2 linked regions of the Notamacropus eugenii genome follow. Each later gene encodes a partner of the first gene's protein in a complex. Links are inferred from orthologs where the notes say so. Each region holds a gene or a part of one and is shown in the gene's direction. Other genes may lie near its edges.

Region 1 (3,899 bases):
GCAGGAGTGATAGTGATCTTACCTTCACGGGCTCCATCTGTGTATCTGACTACATAGTGCAGTCACCCTGGCACCTGATAAACTAAAGAAAGTAAAATGTAATTCCCCGGTGCTCTTTGAACTGTCCCATCAGTCAGATTCCGATGGTGGTTTTGTGTTTGTGTTTTGGTTTTTTACGGGAGTCTTGACAACTATGAAAATCTAATTCCCACCCAGATTATTTAAATAAACACATACAAACAGTCTAGTTTCTCATTGATGTGCATTCATCCACTAAGTCAGGGTTGTAAAACTGGTATTTCATCAACTCGTCACACTGGTCTTTGGATCCCTGGCACCAAATGTGGTGCTGTGCCCAGGAGGGGTATTAACATTTGTTGAAAGGAATTATCTCCTTGTCCACTCAGAGGTGGAGACCCTGAATGGCACCGTACATCCATTTTTAGAGAAGATGTTTTTTAGTGATCCGAAACTTGAGGAAAACTTATCAACCGGAGACTATGACCACTCTTTGGTTTTCCCAATACATCAGAGCTTCTTGGAGTATTTTTCCTAAAGTTTGCGAACCTCTCCAGGCTTTTCTGCAAAGGAAGCACCGCACGTTCTCCCCACGCTGTCTGCGGCAGGGATGCCTTCTTTTTCCCCAGGGCGGCTTCCTTCTAGGTCTTTTCGTCCCGGCTCCCAAATAAAAGGGCCCAGGCTCCATTTTGTGAAGGCAGGAAACTCCCTTCTCCAGCAGCCTAGCAAAGCCGGGGCGGGGGAACAATAGGCGCTCCATGCATCCTCCTTCTGGCCCAGACCGCGGGGGCGTGCGGGGAGCAGGGCTGTGCGGGGAGCGGGGCTGTGCGGGGAGCGGGGCCGTGTGGGGAGCGGGGTCGTGCGGGGAGGAGGGCCGTGCGGGGAGCAGGGCTGTGTGGGAGCGTGGGCGCTCGCGTGGGAAGGTCCGCCTGGGGTCTGCTCCCCGGCCGCAGCCGAATGGGCACGGGAGCGGGGAGGGGGGAGAGACGGGGATGAGACACTCCATAGGGAGGGCGGGGAGGAGAAGAAAGGAAGGGAGGCCGGGGGGCGCGGAGCCGCTTTCCCAGCGCCCCGGGCCCGGCTGCACGGAGCTGGGCGGCGCCAGCGCCGGACTCCCCGGGACTGGCCTGGAGAAGGCGGGGCTCGGCGTGTTTAGGGGAGGAAGGGGAAGGGAGAGGACGAGAAGAGCGGGAGGTGGAGCTGTTTGGGAGGAAGGGGAAGGGATGGGATAGAAGCGGCAGCACAGCCGGGGCCGCCCCCTCCACCACCCCCGCTACAGCCGCTCCACCAGGAGGAGGAGGAGGAGGAGGAGCAGCAGCCCTCGGGACTGAGTGTGTGTGTGTACTCGGGAGCCGAGGAGGAGGAGGAGGAGGAGGAGGAAGGGTGTTTCCTAGGGCTGGTTCCAGTCCGAGTGACTCAAAGCAGGAAATTCCCCAAGAGCGGCCCGCCGGAGCCGGGGAGCGCGGGGTCCCGGGAGCGACCTGCCCTGCCCTGCCCTGCTGGGGCGCAGCAGCTGGGCAGAGGCGCCTCCCCCACCGCCCGGTAAGAAACTTTTCTCTGCTTGTCTCCCTCTCCCCCCCGGGGCCCGCACCGTGCGCGGAGTCCCCTCCGCCGCTCCTCTCCCTCCCCCACCCTACTAGCTGGGGGCAGGAGGGCTTCCCTTCCCTCCTAGCCCCTTTCCGGAGGCTCCGGGGTGCCTACCCTGCGGCCAGTGTCCGCCCCCGAGCCGGTGTGCTGGGGCCGGGGCGGAGGGCCAGCGGGGCCGCGGACCGCGCGGTGCGGGGGTGTGGGACCCTGCCCCTGCGGACCGCGCGGTGCGGGGGTGTGGGACCCTGCCCCGGCCCCCGCCGCCTCCCTTCGTCCTGCTGAGCCGGCTCCGAGCCTCGGGGTCCCCCTTGGGGGAGAGGAGGGGGCGAGCGGAGCCCGGCCCTGGGGCTGATTTGAGGGAGGGGGTGGCCCACGCATCAAATCTCATCACGGAAAACCTCGTTCCTCAAGCTGTGTGAGTGTGTGTGTGTATGTATGTGTATGTATATATGTGTATGTATATGTACCCCATACTCTCCTGGACCCTGGAATGTCACTCCTTGAAATCAACTCCAAGAAAAAGATGGAAAAGGTGACCAGGAGTGGGAAATCCCGAGCAGCGTGTGTGTGTGTGTGTGTGTGTGTGTGTGTGTGTGTGTGTGTGTGTGTGTGTGTGTGTGTGTGTGTGTGTGTGTGTGTGTGTGTGTGTGTGTGTGTGTGTGTGTGTGTGTTTCAGAATCCTACACCTTCCTGGTTCCTGGTCCACTCCTTGTAGTCAACTCCAATAAAAAGATGCGAGTGGTGACTGAGAGTGGATGTAATTATTAACCCCCTGGCTTTCTCCTACCCGCTGAGCCCTAGTTGACTCTGGAGAAAGAGGCCTCGAATTCGATGCTTACAGATTATACCTTTTAAAGAGTCCCTAAGGGCAGGGCGAAATACCGTGGCACAGATTTGGGGTTATGGGGGTCGTGTATGGTTCAGATCAGTAGTGGCCAGGTTATTTTATCAGAACAGGATGTGAAGCAACTCAAAAGATTTTTGGTGAACTCTGTGTTTTTAAAATGCACACAACTCATTCTGCTTTCTGTCCTGTGCTTTCCTTTTCCTTTTCCAAACCATGAAATAGAAATAATCCAACGCTATATATAAAAGAGACAGTTATCAGGTCCATACTCACCTGGTATAGTGGTCCTTGTAAGGTTTGGAACGTCTCTTTTTTAATGTAGGAACCCCCCCCCCCCTTCACATGTTTTTGCTTACAAAGAGATCACTTTCAAAATAAGAGTATTTGCGATAGAAGTCAATTATTGAACTCCAGTAGTGTGTAGAGCTTTGTAGATAATAATGAGAATAGCTGACTTTTATGTAGTTCCTGAAGGCTTGCAAAATGTTTCATCTTATTTGAAACTAATTACTGATCTGGCAAGCGGTCAATATCCTTTTAGTAGACCCAGGCCTGAGAGAGGTTAAATAATGGAAAGTGTAGGTCACTTACCTAAGCCTGTTAATTTTGCATGAGGATGATAGATCAAGACTTTAAACAATTTTTTAAAAAATTCATTGCCTTTCCCTTGGGAGAGTAGAGAGATCATTCTAAAGTAAATGGATTTTGCAGGGCAGAGAGTGTAAAGTAAAATTCCCAGTCTTCCTGTTGATGTGCTCAGTGGCCAGTGTGATGGAAGAGACAGTCATTTTTTCTTTCCTGATTGTGAGTTTTTAAAATCTGACAAAGAAAGATCCATCGCTTGTATTTTAAGTATGAAATGTATGTAGCTGGAAATGTCACAAATTGTGTGAGTATAAGAAAAGGAATGAAGGACTTAATTGAATAGTTAAGTGTAAGCTTCATTTTTAAAGCCAAGAGGAGGATCCAATGCCAATCTTGGGGTTGATGTTTTTACAATCACAGACTGTGGTTACTTATTAAAGCCTGAATTGTATTGTTTGTTTTCTTGGGGCAGCTGAAGCTTTGGTATCTCAATATTTGATACCAATGGACAATTTCAATACTGTATACCTCAGTACGTCATTTATCATGATTTATGTTCATTTTGGCTTGACGGTGTAAAATGGAATTAATCACTGATTATGAGCTGACTACAGGATAGACTTAAAGCAGTGTTTCAACTAGAAAAAATTCCATTGCATGTTGATGAGTGCGTTGGAACATTTGACCAGTCTTGTCTAGAGTCTGACAACTAAAAAAGGCTGTCTTTCTTAAAACTATATATTATCATATATGTACATGTAAGATGTTAGATTTGCACCTGCTATTTTGTTTTTCCTGGAGCACTTTTACTTGACATTTTCTATTTGAAGAAAATAATGTTACATAAATTAACTTGAGGCCT
Region 2 (3,899 bases), about 330 Mb from region 1:
ATGAAGTGGAATGTCTTACACCTGGAATTAAGTCGGTCAGTTTCAAATCCTGTCAACAGGAATTTATAAACCCACCATGTGCCAGACACTGTGCTGAGCCCTGGTGATACAAAGAAATGGGGAAAACTGCCCCTGACCTCAAGAAGTTCACCATCTGATGCCTTTCTGTGTGTCCCCAGCTCCGCACACAGTAGGTGCTTAATAAATGCTTTGACTTCATGCAAATAAAATATAAACAGGATAAATTGGAGGTAATCTCAGAAGGAGGTAACGTAGCCTTAGCGAGGGTGAAGTAATGATTAATCAGCTTGGATGAAGGGCTTTAAATGCCAAAGCAGTTTGAATCATATCCTGGATTTCTCCACGATGCTCCAGAAGATCCCTTCAGCCCTGGAGCTTGCCTTCAGCCTTGGGGACCCCTTTCTCTGACTGGACTCTGGAGGGTGAAAAGCACCTCGCTGAACCTCCACTGAAGGAGGGTGCCCAGGCTGACTGCGGGGGGAGGGGGATCCTCATTTCTCACCAGGGGTGCGCTACTCTGAACTTCTCCATCTCAACTTCTTCTCCCTTCCCTCCCCACCCCATTCCTTCCCGCGAGTGTGTGCGTGTTCTCCTTTCTTTCCGTCTGTCTTTGCGTCTCCAGGGTTTATACCATCATGCCCCGCACACTGACAGCGTCTAATACATGCTTGCAGACTCCCTGACCACTGAAGTTTCCCGAGCACCGGTACAGCACCATCTATTAGATTTTAAAGTCTTGAAGGGCGGGTAGTTTTGTCTACGAGCCCTTTCCACCCCCCAGCCCAGAACAAGAGAAAGCTTAGCACAAGTTCATCGGATCGAGCGGAGCGGACACGGGGGGTCCCCAGCCGTGGTGGCGAAGGGCAGGGGGTCCACCTGGGTCACAAGTTCTCCGAGGAAGGAATTCTGAAAAGCGCGGGGGCCCAGGGGCGTGCCTTAGACAGCTCACTTCTCCGCCACGTGGGGACCCCTCCTCCGCAGAGCCCGTCCCCGCCCTGGGTGTGCTCGAGCCAGACCCCGGGACGAGGCCGTGACTCAACTTTCCAGTTCCCACCTAGCCCGAGTCAGAAGCCGGGAGGAGGGACTGGGCAAAACCAACTGAAACCTGGAGGGTACACAGAAGGAAGTTCGGGGGCCCAGCTCATTCCTTCGCTTCCTGCGCACGTTTTCCTAGAACCGTTGCCAATAAACCACCGCCTAAAATGTTTTCAAAGAGCATCTGCCCTTCAGAAGCAGCGTTTCCGTACTTTCATTTAGGAAGTTGACTTGCTCGTACCCCGCCTTGAACTTCACTTGGTCTCCTCCGTCCTGTTTACTCCATTTGCGGAAGTCTTTCGGGTGGAGCTCCCGGGGCAGTGCCTGCGGAGTACGTCGTTTGCGTATCAGTTTGACAGGCGCTCCGTGAAGACCAATGAAAGAGCTGGAAGCTCCGAGCGGGCGGGGCTGTAAACCAATCAGATCTGGTGCCGGGGTGGGGCTATGTCTCCGGGAGGGGAGCGCGTAATGGCGGACGCCGATCTGGCGAGTGCGGCCGGGGGCGTAGCGAGCTGAGGGAGGGACCGCAGGCCAGAGTGGCTGCAGCCGCCGGGGGGCTAGACCACCCTGCGGACCGCGGCTGCGGGCAGAGGGGGCGTCAGGGCCTGCCGCGGTTGGCTCTTTCGGAGGCCAGGTGAGCAGCAAGTTCTCCTGGCCCGGGAGAGGGCGGCTTCTGGCGGGACCGGGCCTGGCCGGGCCGGGGCCGGCGTCCGAGGGTCCGACGGGTCTGAGCGGGCATGCACTGGGCAGGGGTGGGGGGCAAGAGCAGGGCCAGCTCCACGGGGAGCCAGCAGGAGTCCCGGGCTGTCCTGTAAGGGAGTGAGCGGGGGTCCCAGGCTGTCCCGTAGGGGAGTGAGCGGGGGTCCCAGGCTGTCCCGTAGGGGAGTGAGCGGGGGTCCCAGGCTGTCCCGTAAGGGAGTGAGCAGGAGTCCCAGGCTGTCCCGTAGGGGAGTGAGCAGGGATCCCAGGTTGTCCATAAGGGAGTGAGCAGGGGTCCCAGGCTGTCCCGTAGGGGAGTGAGCGGGGGTCCCAGGCTGTCCTGTAAGGGAATGAGCAGAGGTCCCAGGCTGTCCATAAGGGAGTAAGCAGGGGTCCCAGGCTGTCCTGTAAGGGAGTGAGCGGGGGTCCCAGGCTGTCCCGTAGGGGAGTGAGCGGGGGTCCCAGGCTGTTCTGTAAGGGAGTGAGCAGGGGTCCCAGGCTGTCCCATAGGAGAGTGAGCAGGGGTCCCAGGCTGTCCCGGAGGGAAGTGAGCAGGGGTCCCAGGCTGTCCTGTAAGGGAGTGAGCAGGAGTCCCAGGCTGTCCCGAAGGGGAGTAAGCAGGGATCCCAGGTTGTCCATAAGGGAGTGAGCAGGAGTCCCAGGCTGTCCCGTAAGGGAGTAAGCAGGAGTCCCAGGCTGTCCCGTAGGGGAGTAAGCAGGGGTCCCAGGCTGTCCTGTAAGGGAATGAGCAGAGGTCCCAGGCTGTCCATAAGGGAGTGAGCAGGAGTCCCAGGCTGTCCCGAAGGGGAGTAAGCAGGGATCCCAGGTTGTCCATAAGGGAGTGAGCAGGAGTCCCAGGCTGTCCCGTAGGGGAGTAAGCAGGGGTCCCAGGCTGTCCTGTAAGGGAATGAGCAGAGGTCCCAGGCTGTCCATAAGGGAGTGAGCAGGGGTCCCAGGCTGTCCTGTAAGGGAGTGAGCGGGGGGTCCCAGGCTGTCCCGTAGGGGAGTGAGCGGGGGTCCCAGGCTGTTCTGTAAGGGAGTGAGCAGGGGTCCCAGGCTGTCCCGTAGGAGAGTGAGCAGGGGTCCCAGGCTGTCCCGGAGGGGAGTGAGCAGGGGTCCCAGGCTGTCCTGTAAGGGAGTGAGCAGGTGTCCCAGGCTGTCCCGTAGGGGAGTAAGCAGGAGTCCCAGGCTGTCCCGTAGGGGAGTAAGCAGGGGTCCCAGGCTGTCCTGTAAGGGAATGAGCAGAGGTCCCAGGCTGTCCATAAGGGAGTGAGCAGGTGTCCCAGGCTGTCCCATAGGGGAGTAAGCAGGGGTCCCAGGCTGTCCTGTAAGGGAATGAGCAGAGGTCCCAGGCTGTCCATAAGGGAGTGAGCAGGTGTCCCAGGCTGTCCCGTAGGGGAGTAAGCAGGGGTCCCAGGCTGTCCTGTAAGGGAATGAGCAGAGGTCCCAGGCTGTCCATAAGGGAGTGAGCAGGAGTCCCAGGCTGTCCCGAAGGGGAGTAAGCAGGGATCCCAGGTTGTCCATAAGGGAGTGAGCAGGAGTCCCAGGCTGTCCCGTAAGGGAGTAAGCAGGAGTCCCAGGCTGTCCCGTAGGGGAGTAAGCAGGGGTCCCAGGCTGTCCTGTAAGGGAATGAGCAGAGGTCCCAGGCTGTCCATAAGGGAGTGAGCAGGTGTCCCAGGCTGTCCTGTAAGGGAGTGAGCAGGGGTCCCAGGGCTGTCCCATAAGGGAAAGAGCAGGATGAGGAAGTAAGCAGGGGTCCCAGGGCTGCTCCATGAGAGCCATGAAGAAATGAGCAAGGGATTCATGGCCTCCCCACCCCAAATGGGGAAGTGAACAAGGAGTCCCTGCTTGCCCCATGGTGGAGTTAGCCTCCTTTTGGAGTTGTGCTGGTGGGTACCAGGGCTGCCCCGTAGGAGAGTGAGCAGGGTAGAACAGATCTTCCCTATGGAAAGGTACAGGTGGGTACCAGATCTGTCCCTTAGGGAATTAAAGAGGTGCCCCCCCCCCGACATACACCTGGACCTCCTTAAATGTAAATGGAGTGCCCAGGCTGCCCCAAAGACAGACGTGGGTTTTAGAAGGTACTAGGTCTTCTCCACAGTCAGACAAAGGCCTGACCCATAGCTATGTGGGGCTGGATGTCA

Evidence for each region.
Region 2: CYFIP1 (region 1) and WASF2 share a complex: the UniProt entries of both Homo sapiens proteins name them as parts of the WAVE2 complex. The link is inferred for Notamacropus eugenii from reciprocal best matches to the Homo sapiens genes CYFIP1 and WASF2.

Annotation. Positions count from the first base shown.
Region 1 is NC_092876.1:400,100,648-400,104,546, forward strand, and holds the start of CYFIP1 (cytoplasmic FMR1-interacting protein 1), read left to right. Parts: upstream 1-1,453; 5' UTR 1,454-1,560; intron 1,561-3,899. UniProt on the Homo sapiens protein: Component of the CYFIP1-EIF4E-FMR1 complex which binds to the mRNA cap and mediates translational repression. In the CYFIP1-EIF4E-FMR1 complex this subunit is an adapter between EIF4E and FMR1.
Region 2 is NC_092876.1:68,627,227-68,631,125, reverse strand, and holds the start of WASF2 (actin-binding protein WASF2), read left to right. Parts: upstream 1-1,603; 5' UTR 1,604-1,690; intron 1,691-3,899. UniProt on the Homo sapiens protein: Downstream effector molecule involved in the transmission of signals from tyrosine kinase receptors and small GTPases to the actin cytoskeleton. Promotes formation of actin filaments. Part of the WAVE complex that regulates lamellipodia formation.